4 linked regions of the Drosophila melanogaster genome follow. The protein of the gene in region 3 interacts with the protein of the main gene of each other region in a pairwise test. Each region holds a gene or a part of one and is shown on either strand. Other genes may lie near its edges. The genes, in order: Trim9, whe, Inx7 and knrl.

What was found.
Region 1: the proteins of Inx7 (region 3) and Trim9 interact in a two-hybrid assay, tested with the Drosophila melanogaster proteins (one large-scale study listed by BioGRID).
Region 2: the proteins of Inx7 (region 3) and whe interact in a two-hybrid assay, tested with the Drosophila melanogaster proteins (one large-scale study listed by BioGRID).
Region 4: the proteins of Inx7 (region 3) and knrl interact in a two-hybrid assay, tested with the Drosophila melanogaster proteins (one large-scale study listed by BioGRID).

The regions. Positions count from the first base shown.
Region 1 is NT_033779.5:10,543,321-10,547,943, forward strand, and holds the start of Trim9 (tripartite motif containing 9), read left to right. Parts: upstream 1-1,562; 5' UTR 1,563-2,083; coding exon 2,084-2,980; intron 2,981-4,623. UniProt on the Drosophila melanogaster protein: E3 ubiquitin-protein ligase activity. During embryonic and larval development, regulates the pattern of axonal projections of class IV nociceptive sensory neurons (C4da) downstream of netrin receptor fra.
Region 2 is NC_004354.4:21,401,777-21,404,565, reverse strand, and holds whe (what else), read left to right. Parts: upstream 1-1,793; 5' UTR 1,794-1,848; coding exon 1,849-2,106; 3' UTR 2,107-2,227; downstream 2,228-2,789.
Region 3 is NC_004354.4:6,991,082-6,995,359, reverse strand, and holds Inx7 (innexin 7), read left to right. Parts: upstream 1-1,747; 5' UTR 1,748-1,946; coding exon 1,947-2,180; intron 2,181-2,477; coding exon 2,478-3,187; intron 3,188-3,257; coding exon 3,258-3,630; 3' UTR 3,631-3,748; downstream 3,749-4,278. UniProt on the Drosophila melanogaster protein: Structural components of the gap junctions.
Region 4 is NT_037436.4:20,617,612-20,622,316, reverse strand, and holds the start of knrl (knirps-like), read left to right. Parts: upstream 1-1,657; 5' UTR 1,658-2,575; intron 2,576-4,705.

The sequences.
Region 1 (4,623 bases), on a different chromosome or scaffold from region 3:
CCAAATCCAGATCAAATACTCCAGCAGGAACGTGGCTTATTAAGTCGAACGGATTACGCACTGCTCTGGGTGGGGATATGCTTGAATTGGGAAAGGGGGGAGTCAGGCACTTTCCACGCCGCACGATTTTCTTGCTACGTTCTCCATCATTTTCCTTAACCGTGCTGTATAGCGTGCACTCAAAAAAATATCTGTAAAATATCAGAATACTTTAAACAATTTTTGTGTTAGCACCATTTGAAAAACCCTTTGTTAAATTTAAAATGAATCAAATATAGTATATGAAATAGTATTATTACTTTCCTAAGGTATACATACTGAAGAAAGCTATTTATTTATTTAACACCATCATGCTAACGATTTTCTCTCTGTGTAGATAAACATCTAGAGCAGGTCACCTATTTGTATTTAGCTTTCCGATATCGAATGTCAGTTACCGTGGGGAATTCTTCACCATCCTCAATCGCTAGCTCTCGATTTCCCGCTCGGTTGGCCGCTCCGGTGTCAAAACAAACTGGAAAACGGTCTGAAACAGAGTCCGATTTTAAATCAGTCAAACAAACAGCGTGGTCCAATAATATTTGTAGATCGTAGAATCGACGTAGCTGACACCTCCATTGGGGAATGAGCGATGTAGTACATACCTTCATATAAGCACTTGGTACTAGGAATGTCGCCATGTGCACGAGTGGGTCGGTGGCCGGTCGGGGCTTATCAGTGGTGCAGTGGTATAGTGGTGCACTGGTGGCACCGACATTACCTGCTCACTTACCTGAGCCACTTACAGTGGTGGTACTCCAATTAATAGCTCTTCAAGTCCAAGTCAAAGTTGACAAATAGTTTGGTCAGTCGTGAGGTTCCTTGCCAAACTTTTGCTGCTGCTTGGAACTTTGTTATTAAAAGTTGGTACAATTATTATATAACTACAATATTATAAAAATATCACAAACTTTATTTATTCTTAAAAAGAATAATTGTTAGTTGCTATTACTTCTGCAGCTGGTGTAAAACAAACGTATTGTACTGATAAAGGTTTATCATATTATATAGCTTTAGTTCAATCTCACGATAAGGCAATTCGTGCATTACGATAGAAAATGCGATAGTGAAATTGAACGCATATTTGTTTTTAATGCTTTGTTGAAATATTTTTATTTATTATTATATTATTTTTAATATCCTTATATCAAATTCTTAATTTCCAGTGCTTACTCAGAAAATTATTCTTAAGCAGTCGCTCTCAAACTGTAGTCAAACTGTCAAGTTAGAATGTTCGAATCGAGCCAGCTCATGTTCGAATCGAACTTCAGTCAACAAATAACAACTAACTCACATGACAAATAAAAAACAATAAAAAAAACAAAAAAAAAAATAATAATAATTTTATTTTACGTTTATACGTTTTACAATAATTATTTTTGCGTATGTTTCAGCGGTTATTAGACAATAGTTTAATTTCATTCGAACTTGAAGAAGTTCGGTATGAAGAAGTTGGTTCGCTCAGTCGAACGCATTCGAGTTCGAATTGAAACCTCGACTGCGGAAGCAAGTTATTCCACTGCCAGTCGTTCAAAAATCTCAAGCGGATCGGTCGTGTTGCGGATGCCCAAAATCGAAATTGGTCGCGTTCAAAAGTTAGGCGCGTAATCAAAGTGGCAAGAAAGTTGAATAGAAAGAAAACAAACTGCAAAATATATATATAAAAAAAAACAAAGGACATTTTTAACAAAATTTGTGAAAAGTGAATTTTCCAAGGACTTGAAATTGAATTCAAAGTGAAGATTGGTAAAAAGTGTGGTACTGTTGAGATACCAAAAACTACGAACTAAACAAAAATTGCGCAAGTTTCAAATGTGGAAAACAATTTATGATTTGGTTTTAACGCACAAGTTGTAAACAAGAAACAGGATTTTAAACGCGATTTTATTAAAGTGTAAAGTGAATAATTCGAGGATTACCAAAGACATGTTGTCCCAAAGAGTGCAACCCAACTAAAGCGAGGATAAAACCGATTTAAACAGGACCTCTGACCTCGCCAACTCAATCCGAATCGCATTGCTCTTGCGGATTATAACCACCAGACATGGAGGACGAACTGCGCTGTCCCACGTGCAAGCAGCTGTACGCCAATCCGGTGCTGCTGCCATGTTTCCACGCCCTCTGCCTGGGCTGTGCCCTGGACATCCAGACGCCGTACAGTCCGGGATCGGCTCTACCGGGCGCTGTCAACGGAGCGGGTGCAGCTTCGGCAGCGGGACACAATGGGTTGCATGGCAATGGAGGCGGTGCCGGCGGCGGAGCAGCTGCTCCAGTCACAAATCCCAATGGACCCGGCACACGGCACAGCTCGCACAGCTCCGCTGCCAGCACGGCCAGCTCGAATACCGGAAGCGAGAGCGTCACCTCCGACCAGGATCAGTCGGACAAGGTGAGCATCTTCAGCGAGGCGGACTCGGGCGTGGTCTGCTGCTCGAACACATCGCGTCCGGTGTCCTATGCCGGCACAGGACTGCTGCCAGGAGTGGGCAATGTGGTGGCACCGCCTGGAGCCGCCTACTGTCTCACCTGTCCGCTCTGCCGCAAGCTCGTCTTCTTCGACGACGGAGGCGTTAGGAATCTGCCCACCTACCGCGCCATGGAGGCCATTGTGGATCGCTTTTGCGCCCGCGAGGCCCTCCGCTGCCAGATGTGCGAGACCGATCCCAAGGTCGCTTCCCTGATCTGCGAGCAGTGCGAGATTCGCTACTGCGACGCCTGCCGCGAGTTGACCCACCCCGCCCGCGGACCGCTGGCCAAGCACACGCTGGTCAAGCCGCGCGGCGCCGCCCAGCAGAGGGAGTCCGTCTGCGGGGAGCACGAGGAGACCCTCTCCCAGTACTGCCTCAGCTGCAAGGCTCCCGCCTGCGGACTTTGCATCGGAGAATTGCGCCACCAGGCACACGACGTCCAGTCCATCAACGTCACCTGCAAGGCTCAAAAGGTGAGTTGTGTGATGGGATTTCGATAGTTAAATAGTTGACTTTAATGATTGCGAGTTGCATATGCCATATCAAAACGAGAAACTGCTTGAATCTATACTACAAGTACAAGTATTTATTAAATTAATTTGTTAAATGCACAATATGCTCGAATCCTTCAGTCAATATTGCAGACCATTCTACTAACAGCCAGACAAATACAAATATTTGTTTAATTTATTGGTAAACAAAGTGCTTTTATTTGAAAGACAGAAGAGGGAAGATGTGCTAATTAAAGAAATACCAAATAGGAATTGGTTATTTATGCAAACCAAGTTCAGATCCCAGCAGTTTGTGTAGAGCCAATAAAGGCCAATGATATGACCGTGATGTCCGGAAATTCATTGCCAGGAATCAAAAGAGTCCTTTTTGGGGGGGTCGAAGAAAAATACGGCATTGAGGCAAACTAATTAGGGGCGAAAGTAGGGACCTCATGAAATAAATATGTATTTGCTGGCGAAGGCATCGCATATCCTGGCCACATCCTGGCTTGCTTCCTCCTTTTTAGTTGATTGTATTCCATTTCTACTGTTGCCTTTCGTCTGGCTTTTTTGTGGAAAATTTATGGCTTGTCTTGTGGCCCCGAACATTTTTCATGCAACATTGTTTTGCTGCAAGTATTTGGGAATATTGGTGCTTAAAGCAGCTTGCAAATCAACGAAATTGTATTATGAATGTGGAACTGTAGAAAAGGATAACAACAAGGCTTGAAAAAATACTAAGAATTTTTGTACATTTCACAACTGCAGACAAACATTTTGAAAGGGGTATCTCTGAGTCTGTTAGCCAGTTGAAGTATTTCATTAAAGCAAATTCTTTACAACTTCTACCCACCTTCGTTAGCTTTTGTTTTGACGGAACCTTCCAAGTGCCACAATCTCGCAACTTTGGCACGCTAATTCAGCGATAAGTTTCGTTTTCCTACCTTTTGGAATTTCATTTCACAGAACTTCAGTGGCATTTTTTGTTTTGTTGTTGTTTTTTTTGGCCCTCTCACCTGTCGTTCGCCAGTTGAATTCATGAATTCGCCGTCTGTCGTCGAATCACTGGCAATTGTCAACGGCAGCAATTTTAATATGGCAAATGTTTCGAGTGCCTGCACATCCTGTCATCCAAGGACAACAAACCGACGCCAGCGGAAGAGGACGAACTGCGACAAGGACAGAGCCAAGTGCGAAAAGTGACAAATTGCAGTGGCAGCCAAAACAAAGGATGACAGTGAGGCAGGGAAATCAACTGTCTAGTCAGGTCAAGAAGGATATTATCCGAAGGATAACAAGGCAGAAGGAATAGAAAGCATTTTTTGTATCCCAAAAACAAATGCGCAAAAGTATTTCACAGTCTCTGGTCTCTGGTTTAACCTGTAATCTAACTAAGAATCTCAAGCAGGATTTCCAGCAGAAGTGGGCTATTAGATACATATAAATAGGTTAAAAAAACATTACTATTTCGATAGTACATTTGATAGACCCGCACTATAAACTGGAATATTCGAATAGATAAATTTTCCTGCATTTTCACCATATTTCATAATTGAAGAGTACGCGCAATGATAACAGTATCTGTGGCGCATTTCGCCCTATTTGTATATCTATTTGGGTTGAAT
Region 2 (2,789 bases), about 14 Mb from region 3:
AAATGCCTCATCAGCATTCCGGTGAGTGTTTATCTGAGGGTGTGAGTGGATTTGCGTTCGGGTTAATCAAAATGTGACCGATGGCAACGACAGCTGACCGCAAATCAAGGGAACGTCCGGGCGGCCAATTACCCCAATAATCAGAACCCGTTGGGAAATCTTTCTAATCGTCCTTGGCAGCAGTCCTGTGGACTGCTACTTGGTATAGATAACTACTAGCTAATAGCTGGCATGTGAAAAATCAGCTAATATCTATATCCGTATCCTTTAAGCTCTCATTAAATTTTTTAGCACACGAATAAGAAATTAAGTTTAGATGAACTGATGGTACAGAAAATGTAATTTATATCTGAAGAGCCATATATCAATCAAGCCATAATTGAAGCGACCGCCAATTCTTGAGGTTATAACGATTATCCTGTTCCCTCCGATTGAACTCAGAAATGAATCCAGACATCTAGAGCTTTGTATCGCATCCTGCGAGTCCCTGTCGTACACCCATGCTCTCCATAAAGCTACCACATAACGGCAGCCACATAGGAAAAGTGGAAAGTGCGGTGCTGAAGTGGAATATCCAGTCCACCGAGCTGGTTTTAGAGCGTCGAAATTGCCTTTTTATTGACAATTCACAGCACGCGCCGTTGAAACAGATCATCAAAGGTTATTACGACTACAGAAAAGGTCCTTTTGTTGCTGTTGTAAATAGATTCATAAGCAACACTACATGCCGGCAATTGCGAGACAGGAAAATAAGCGAAAAGAAATCCTGCGAGTGAAAGTGTTAACACTTAGGGTAAGCTATACACTCGCTGCAAGGATACTATATGTGGATATTCGAGAGTTGGTGCGTGCACTTCTCCGCGGGATAAAGGCAAATTTCAGTCTGAATGTCAAAGTTTGAGCCTGGCAGTACTTTGAAATATTCATAAGAACGAACACTAAGAAAAACAGGGTTAAAGTTAGCTCTCAACTACGATAAATAAAAAAATGTATGCTGGCTAAAAAAAAGAGCACGAAATAACGAAATTTAATGCAAGGTCCTGAAAATAGGCTCGTGTTGCAAAAAACCGGAAAGCAAGAAGCCGAAGCTCAATGTTGAAACATTTGTTTAGTACCAGAGATATGAATTTCCAAGTAGAACTCACACACGGTCATAAAGCAATAAAGCGGAATCATGTGCAGAAATTTTTATAAGTTAGGTGTATCATCCAAGTGGCAAATGCTCCAGGATCTTAGAAATGCGCGGAGTGTGGGATTTGTGGGGGCGAGACAAGTGCAAGTACTTTCCACTTTTTTTGGCCAAATCCCAGCAAAGAGCTTAAGGTTTCAGCTCAATTGTTTTGCCCGACTTTATTTCATTGCCATTTTTATATTTCCCCATCTTGGGTGTGCCGAGAAAAGCTTTAAGCTAAATCAAAATGCATATTTACGGAAAAGAAAAATCTATGAAACAGAAATCTTATAGTTAGATACTTTGCTAAAATAAAAAAGAAACGAAAAAACCTAAAGCTGTTCCAATAAATCTACATTTTATTCATTAGATCACCCGGAATAGCTTTAGGAAGTAAGTATAAATATAATGAATCTAAAGTTTCACAACCACGAGGTTAGTTTGTTTAATATTTTAAGATCACCAGTTGGCCAAGTATTTCCATTATGAAGGGTTTACACAACTTCACTTGGGTCATCGCTGTTTGCACAATGCTTCTGTTTGTCCATCGAAAACATAGAATTGCAAAACACCTGCAATAGATCCGATTCCGTAGAGATCTCCGAGGTATATATAGGGCTCGGGTGCAGTTGGTGAAGTCAATTGAATTTGCTAAGTCAATCATCTACAAAATCAAAATGCGTGTAATCTTCCTCATCGTTGTGCTCGCCATGGTGGCTCTGGCTGCTGTCCAAGGACGTCGTCCTCCAGGACTTCCGCAGGGAGGTCTGGGACCACTTCAGGGCTCTGGAGGACTCCAGCCGCCGCAGGGAATACCTCAGGGACCTCCCCAGGGACTCCCACAAGGACCTCCCCAAGGTGGCAACTCATCCTCCTCCGAAGACTCTTCCTCCCAGGAGAGCTCCAGCGAGTCCTCCAGTGAGGCGTCCGCCTAGAAACTCGATCGCCGAGTCCTTCATGTAAAAACATTCAAAAATCTTTAAATAAAGATATATATTCTGCTTATTTCAATATATAAAACCGTCCACCGATTCCATTAACTGCACCGATTTCCATTTCGAACTCCGAGTAATGGTTGCGTTGCTCCTGCCCGAGGAATGGAAATGGAAATGGGCCTGGGTGTGGGTGTGGGGGCGTGTCTCAAATCGGTTGCCTAAATAAGAAATCATTTTATTTGAAAAGTTTCCCTTTGGCACGCCCCCTCCAGCTGCCACCCCACTTTTTGGAAGGCAGAAGACGGCGACGTCTGCGTTTGGCGACACCAGCAACATCGGGCGAAACAAAAGCAACAAGGGCAACAGCGGTACAACAAAGCGAAGACACCAACAATAAGCTGAAGCAGCTGAAGGCGTTAGGAAGTACCCACACGACTTGGAAATACCTATTGTACGTATGAATTAAAAGCAAAAAAGAACAGCATAAAATATTACTTTCAAAGAGCGTAAAGCTACGTAACTAACAAGGCAACTAGATAATAAGCTATTAAGATAACAACTATTTGTTAAATGGCTTTAAATGATTAGGTACAAATCAAAGGATATTTCGAAATGATAATTGTGACAACTGATAAATTATGCAACTGTATAAAAACCACCGATAACTGGTTTCAAAAAATTAA
Region 3 (4,278 bases):
TGGCCAAAGACAAAAGAACGTGCATGGCCTATCAGTTTATATCAAAATCTGGGCTATGCCAATAAAGCAATGCGATTGTTATTTGAACATGAATCAATGAACTTTCGTCAACTGGGAGGCGTAAGCAAAAGCAAAAGTAGTAGCCGTAATCATAGCAATTTCCTGGGAAACCCAAGTAGAGGTAAATTCGAGCAGTCAACCGGCTAAAAATGTTGCAATTACTAATATAGTTAACTGGTCTCTAGTTACGCACGACTTATAAATGTTATATGTACGTATGTAAAGGGGCCATTTTTGACTATCTTATCCGGCAAAGTTTTGGAGCGGCCACTTGAGCGCTTAAGTAATAAGCACCAAAATACAATGCCTAGGCGAGCTATTTAGATAAGCAACAGATATATGTAGATACTTATGAGCTGATAGTGCGAATCTCTGTTGGAATTCCGTTACATTCTAGAAAGTAAGTAAGCCAGTCACTCGTTGTCTTTTCTGGGGATTGACTGGAAGATAAGATTGTCGGGGCCAAAGAATGAAATACAATAGTGCGCAGGGTGAATATCCACCTGATTGCCTTGCGTGGAACCTTGCAACGATATCGCCAAAAAGGCAAACAGCCGAGCAATAATCCATCTTAAGAAGAAGAGTCTCAGTAAGTATGTACATAGCCCTCTGTCTAGCACTGATCTGGGTCAATACGATAACGCCAAGCCGATATATGTCCGCTTATCCAATTACTGTCCCATCCATCAGAATAGGCAGTATTGAATCAATATGGGTGGCGATAGCGGCACGCTTTAAGACCCGGAGAGTTCCAGATTACGGCGGAATTTGCAATTCCACACTTGAATGATTTCAATGCAAGTCTCTATGGTTATTCTTAAAACCAAGTGATCATTTCTTGCATCACTAAGGGATTTTTGCTATGTTTTTGGAAGTGTAACTAATTTGCTGATATCCTGAATCTCTTGAGTCATATATGTACATATATATTTTCCCGCACTGATTCATATTTCCTATGATTGTTTGCTTGGTTATCTTGGCCTCTTTGCTCTTGGATCTTGGATGAATTTCGATGGGTGGGAAGTTACTCACCCACCCACCAGGGCGAGATTTAGCCAACTTACCGATGAGGTAAACCCTGAGAAAATGAGTATTATTTTCATAATTTCTTTCGCTCTTTCTGTGACTTTCGTCTTATCATTTTCGGATTCTTATGAAGCCACGAGCCGAATACATGCCGAAGTACTCATGTTTGGGCGAAATTTGAAATATGACCGAAAAACTTCGGAGTTTTCTTGGGTATCAAGAGAGCCCTACACTGAAAGAATTAAATTGCTAACATTTTAGACTGAAACCTAAGTGACAAAGATTGTGCCCCTCTCTCAGCTTATACTGCGAGTCAGAAGCTGAAAAAAATTTCTTTTTTTTTTCTCATAGTCCAATAGTCTACGTAAGTCCTGCTAAGTGTAGCGCACTCCAGTAGGTTCTCATATTTCCCTTACTCTTTTCTTGGACAACTCTGAACTAAACACAATACCATTGCTGATTCGGCATTTCCGTGTATTTCTGCCCGACGAAGTTATCTTATCGGGCCCGGGCGACTCTCCTGGCCAAAAATGAGCGGTCGATAAGGCGCCAGAAAGCCCTCTCCGACGAATGTGGAATGGTGATGAAGATCGGCGAACGGGGACCGGAGACCGGAGACCGAAGGTTCCGAGACCCGGAGACCAAGTGCAGAGTCTCGAGCCTTGCAGTTACGAGGAGCTAGCCGCGGCAAGCGGAGCGCACAAATCCATCCGAACCCAGAAGCCAGCCCGTTTCCAATTGCCACCCAGCCATAGTTGTCGTAATCATCGTAAGAAAGTGAACGAAGTAGAAGTGGGATCGGATCGGATCGGATCGGGGCCAGAACCTAACCCAAAACCGAAGATAACGAAGGCGTTACAATGCTGAACACCTTCAGTTCGGTGAGGCAGTACCTCAAGTTCGATCTCACGCGTGTGGTCATCGACAATATAGTGTTCAAGCTGCACTATCGATGGACCTTCGTAATACTCCTAGTGGCCACCCTCCTGATCACGTCGCGCCAGTACATCGGGGAGCACATCCAGTGCCTATCCGACGGTGTTGTGTCTCCGGTCATCAACACCTTCTGCTTCTTCACGCCCACCTTCACAGTGGTAAGTCAGCGGGGTCACAAAGGGAAAATTATAAGAGGTCACCAGGGAATTAAAAAAAATATCTATGTACGGGGTACACAGAAGTATCTATTGAGAGCAACTGTTATCAATACTCTATTTGATTATTGGTTAAAACTTAAATAGGGTTAATCGATTTAGAGTCGTTTTATTGCTATTAGTTGGTTGATATATGTTGCCACATACCCATTCCTGAAATGATCAAATGATAGAATAGATTTTATTTATGTGCCTTGGCGGCAGTAGATCATTTATTAACATAGCTTGCACCCCAAATAGGTACGTGACCAGAACCAAACTGCCTACAGGCCGGGAAGTGAGCCACCTGGTATAGGGGCATTCGATCCCGAAAAGGACACGATCAAGCGGCATGCATACTACCAGTGGGTGCCCTTTGTCCTGTTCTTCCAGGCTCTCTGCTTCTACATTCCCCATGCCCTGTGGAAGAGTTGGGAGGGCGGCCGGATCAAGGCCCTGGTCTTTGGCCTTCGAATGGTGGGTCTAACGAGGTACCTGAAGAACGATAGTCTGCGTATCGGCAAGCTGAACATTCCCTCGATGGCGGAGGCGGAGGAGCGGGTCAAGGACATTCGTCGCACAATGATCGACCGGATGCGGCTGAATCAATCGTGGGGTGCCCACTTGGTCTTCGCGGAGGTGCTCAATCTGATTAATCTTCTGCTGCAGATCACATGGACCAACCGTTTTTTGGGCGGTCAATTCCTCACACTGGGACCACATGCCCTGAAAAATCGGTGGTCCGACGAGCTGAGCGTTTTGGATCTAGTATTCCCGAAGATTACCAAGTGCAAGTTCCACAAATTTGGTGACTCTGGCTCCATTCAAATGCACGATGCCCTTTGCGTGATGGCGCTGAACATCATGAACGAGAAGATCTACATTATTCTGTGGTTCTGGTACGCCTTCCTTTTGATTGTTACTGTTCTGGGACTGCTTTGGAGAATTTTAACCCTGTGCTTCTACAGAAAGTGAGTGGATGGATATAGGTGTGAAATATGTTTTCATAATGTGATAACCCTTCTAACCCACTTTAATTAGTGTCACATTTACCCGCTGGTCTCTCTATTGGGCCAAGCCTGGCCAACTGGACGAAAACGAATTATTGGCGGTAATTGATAAGTGTAACTTTTCCAACTGGATGTTCCTTTTCTTCCTGCGCTCCAACCTTTCGGAGTTCCTATTCAAGAAGGTTATCTATCATTTGGCTAGTGAGTTCCCCAATCCCGATCACGATAACGATGTCAATGCCTATCGAGAGGCACCGCCCACGCCCGCTAAGAACCGTTATCCGGAGCTCAGTGGTCTGGATACGATTGATTCACCACTCTTGCACCTTCGACGCAATGGCTCGCCCTCTGCCGGCGGAGCCCAAGGGCCATCGACTTCGGATATGGCAAAGTTACCTGTATAATTTATGCATTTCAATTAACGCTAGGCAATTAATTATTGGAGCTTTGTCTTGTTTACACCTGTTTTTTTTTTATATATATATATGATCATTTCATTATAAATATATTTATTATTAAGAGACTCGGCTTTCAGCTTTATCCAACAGGTTTTTTTCGGGGCTCACATAAAGCAAAATCTCTCAAAATGGCCGACAGAAAAACAGTTATTTTGTGTGAGGTATTTTGAAAAAAAAAGTGGGTAAAAAGCACAACAAAACCAAAACCGACCAGACACCTTTCGGAGGGGCGTGTGGGCGTGGCCGACAGTTTGTGTCGAGTGGCGACTGCGGTTGGGTGACCCAGTTCGAGTGATCCGTTGTGGTTTCGAAAGTGTTTGTTACTGAGCTGCAGTGTTCAGTTCAGAGCTGGGTCACAGTTTGTACCCTCCCATCTGACTGTGAAGTTTCAATAGATGTGCATGACGGTATCCCCGATTACGGACGGTTCTCCAGGTGAGTTATTGCTACTGTAAGTTTTATATATTTTCTATGGTTTTGGGAAGTTTAAGTGGTTTTCATCGAAAACATCCAGAGATAGGAGGAACTCAACTTCTGAAGTCAACGCTTCCAGCTGCATTAAGACATTTACACATGCCGCTCTGTCATAACCAA
Region 4 (4,705 bases), on a different chromosome or scaffold from region 3:
TATGACAGCTTGACAACTGCCAAACGGGCGAAAAAACTAGTGGAAGATGCAAAAAAAAAGAGGAATTAGATGCAGACCGTTAGAAAAACTCCATCACTCGAGTCTTACGTACTCCCCTCTCTTTCGGAGACACTTAGTCCCTCTCATTCGCACTTTCAGTCGAGATCGCTGGAAGTGGGCAATGTTCGATGGACTTTTGTTGAGTTCAGGGGAGGTGGGTGGTGGGTTAAAACTCCCCGATCGATAGACCACGCCCACTGGCAAGCCGCTAATACGATTTCGATGGATGCGTCTGTGTGAGTGATCGCTCTCATTGATCGCTCTCGTTTGCATGGGTAGCTCTCAGCCAGCTGCTCTGCATTGGTCAGCGAAACGAGAACATATATGCCGGGTATATAACTCGCCCGATGCACGGGAGATGGCCTTATAGTCCGGTCTCGTTTTCGCCCACGGCAAACGGGATCGGCTCGTTTATCTAAAACACCCGACGACGACTGCAGCACGATCCCGTTTTGCGCTGGTGTTAGTGGATTCCGCTCTCATGAGCACGCCGCTCTCTTTACCGGTTGTCTGTGTGAGTATACTGGATATAACGGTGCTCCGATTGTGTTAATCGAGCCAATCAAATGTGGTAACGAATTCTTCGAGTAGATATATTCACGAGAGTGTGTGCCCTGTGAGTGAAGCACTCAAAAGCCGCACAAAATGGTGAGCGATTGAGAAAAACAATCGAGTGCAATATTCAAAGTGAGCAACTGGAAAAATAATGATGTATTTGGAGGCAAATATTGTATATTGTATTGTATCTTATTTTTTTGAACTAATCAAGTATGTTATATTGTTAATTTACTATATACCACATTTGATCAGCTTGCCATAAATATTCCCCAGTTATATAACATTGGACACTAAATCAACAAAACTATGTTCCTTAACAATCGTTAAATTTATTAAATTATATTATATTTATCTAACGAATAAAATTGATTATAAATAAAGTAGAAAAAAGAAAAAGGAAATACTTAAGATTGGTCAAATTAAACAACACGCTAAATAGACTTAGATTACATCTTAAACGACTTATATTTGTTCGCAGTTACTAGGAATTTATTATTATATCTTAACCGAGAAATAAACTGTGCAATTTATATATATATTGCAAACACGACATGCATTTTTTTCTAAATTTGTTGGTGCCTTTTCTATAGTTATAGTTCGTATTTATGTTAGTAATTATACGTTTTTAATATATGTTCATATGCATTTACTCAGTTTCAGCTTGATCTGTGAATACAACTCAATAGCCGAATCGACTCGGATTTGAGTTAACATCACTCAAACAGCGGCTCACACAGACAGGCAATTTGAGTCAAAGTCGCTCTTTTAAGTCTCACTCTCGCTCTCTCTCTCCCTGGTTGTCTTTCGGTTGGGGGTTGAGAGTTCGGGTGTATCACCGTTAGAGAGAATCGGAATCGTCTTCTTCCTCACACACACAATCGCACCCCAGCTGGGCTCGAGTTTGTCGCTTTTGCAGTCTTTTGTTTTTGTTTCGGTTTCTGTTACTGCTTCTTCGACCAGTTTGTAGTTTTTGTTTATAGTAGTATCATCTCCCCGGCCAGAGATATTGTTGTTGCTACTTCTCTGGTAGCCGAAGTCTCAGCTCAGTGTGCTACCGAGCGTTCGTCGGATGATATTGCAAAGCATCTGAGTCGCCGAGTCGCAGCGGTGTGAGCACTTTGCAGAACTGCTTAACATCAGTCTTTAGTGATAGCTCGCGCTTCTTGCTCGCACGCTCGATCGCACGTCGCCGTCGTCGTTGCGTCGTCTTCGTCTTACGTCCCAGGCGTTACGTTGTTTTGGCCGCCGCTAAAAATCAACACATGCAAATTAAGATCAAAAAATTACTCAGTTAAATAAAATGAATTGTAACAATACTACGAATATGTATATGTAGTGCCAACTGAAATAGTAGAGTTCAGTCTGTAACACGTCACTGCAAAAAAACTCAAAAGCGGCAAACGAAAGCGGAAATAAAGAAATTTACGGCAAGTGCGCGTGCGCAGCCAGGAGTGCCCTCACACAAAGGTGTGGTCACTCCATAAAAACTCGCATTCAAAACACAGAAGGCGTAAAAACAGCACCAAATAAAGTCCCACGGAAATATCTCTAGCTAAATTAAAATTTAACCATACTGCAAAACTTTAAAACTTTGTATTACAATAAAAATTATACAAAATATTGCCTCCTTGTGATATATGTACACCCTGCTATATGCAAAAACACACATACTCAAACAACCCAAAAGATATATATTAAACATGCTTCACGCTCGCCTAAAGTTCTAAAAGTCAAGTGCAATTTGAGCAAAAACAGCAACAACTCTATACGCTCAAGTGACGTTTTATTGGCGCAAGGTGAACAAAAAATAATAGCAAGCAAATACACGAAAATACACAAAACCTTAAACGGAAAGTTCACAATGTTAGGAGACGCAGACCTTAAGTGCGCAACGAAATAGAAACACTAAGCAAATAAATTGGATTAACTTGATAGGCTGATCGGTCAGTAAAAGCAGGTAAGTTCAAAGGTTCAATGGCGCCCTCAAAAAAAAATATAGAAGAAACGGAACGAACGGGCTTTTTTGAGACACATCCATCATGCGGACATAAAAATGGGGATAGAGATGGGGCTTCGGAGTTGTAGATGGGGAACATGTGAATTTCATTAACGAATAGAATTCATAAAACAAAAAAAATCAAGATGAAGATGGCGACGCCAGATAACGCTTGACAATCCGACTAACTGACGAACTGTCTACGACTGTCGGCGGGGTTTGTATGATTTAATTATACAAACCATATACACACTCCCCTATATGACACTTATACGACAGCCCAGTAGGAGCTATAGCCCCCAGCTACGGTTTTGTGAGAAAGTTTTCTCTGGCCGATCTTTGTTGACCAGTGCACTTTTTAGTGTGGCCATAAAACATGGCTAGATCAACAACAACAACCATGCAAGGGCAAGGCAAATAAACTTTACGACTATATAACAGAATCAATGTAAGTCAAGTGCGAGCGAGATGGCCTGCACAGATATAGTCGCCGCACATGTTTGCTTTATAATGCAAATAGCGTGTATAGCTTTATTTGCCAGAATATTTGTTACAAAAATTCGAAAACGCAGGCGAAATCCATGGGAATGGCATTAACTGCGGCACTGAAAGAAATTATTGCGCTCAATAGCGAAGGAACTAAATGGAAAGTGGTGCTGCCTAATCCATCAAGGATCAAAAATAATTATTTTGATAAAATAATTCTTAGAATATTCAAGCTGGAAATTTGTGAACATTTTAGTTTGCTTGATGCTGCAGCTTAAATAATAATTTATATAATATTCTATTGATCAATGAGAAATGCCTATCATCTAACTATATTTACAAAGAAGTGACTTTTCAATTAGAAATAAAGTGATCATTCATTTTTGGAAATTCAGAAGATTTGTATCTAAAAAACTGATAATTTTTTAAAGTGCATTTTGCCCTGACTCGCTTGCAGGCAAATGAAGAATCTAACTTGGATTGCTTTTGCATGTGTCGCAAATATTGGCAGAACCTATATACTCGCACTTATGGCGAGTGCCTTGTAAGTTTGCCATGTTCTACAAATCGCAGAGTGCGCACTTATTCTAGTTAGCTGGGGCAATCTTCTTCACTGGTTGATTTAGCTGGCACCTTTTAAGATCACAGCTCTTTCCTGAGGCTGTTCCTTAGACCAACACTCTAAAAAAAGGTATGCACCTAATGCAAAATTGGATATTTGGATATTATTATATTACACTGAAGTCCCAACGATTTAGTACAAATTAAGGAAACTTAGAATATTATCCATATACTTAAACTATCCTTTCAATTTTTTACACGGTATAAAGATAATTTCTATGTTTAAATTATCTGCAATTGTGCAATTGTATAGAGTTTCAGATAGTTCCCTTTATTGTAACACAATTGTAAAAGTGTATCTCGGACGGATGACTGACAGAAGTGGCTGGGAAATTAACACATCAAGGTCGTGTGCTGACTTTAACAGTCCACATCCTTAAGGGGCCCGAGTCCCAGGCCGGAAAAGCCAAAGGAGAGCAGAAAGGGGGCGCAATGTGTGAAAGTATTTAGTGCGGACGCGTTAACAGTGGCAGGAAAACAAGCATACAAAATATCAAATGCAAATGTGGCAAGCAGGCCGCAAGGTTTCAAGACAAACGGCAAGCAGCAAACACCTGTTGTCAGTTAACATGCCTCCTCGCTGCGAGGGGCGGGTGGTGGGGATCCGACCTGGCCGAGTCTTCTGCCCAGAAGTGGGTCCCCATGCGAGGTGACTCACGGAGCTGTTCTCGGGGTTCTTCTTGAGAGCCGCTGATGTGAGGCAGCTGATTGTCTTCGTCGTTCGTTTTTAGGTGCAGCTATGCAGCCCAGTTCCGCCAGCATTTGCATCGCGATATATAATGATATTACTATGGTTATTATTATTATTAGCTGGCAGCTTGGTTAAATGTCAGAGTACCAAACGGATTAGGAGCTATTCTTCAATCAGTTTAAGGCAAAAGCTCGATTAAACAAGTGCAGATCAAATATCAGGGATATTGACCCACCTTTGGAATAACCTGATCATATAATAAGTAGTACCAAGCCATTTAGAGGTCATTAGAG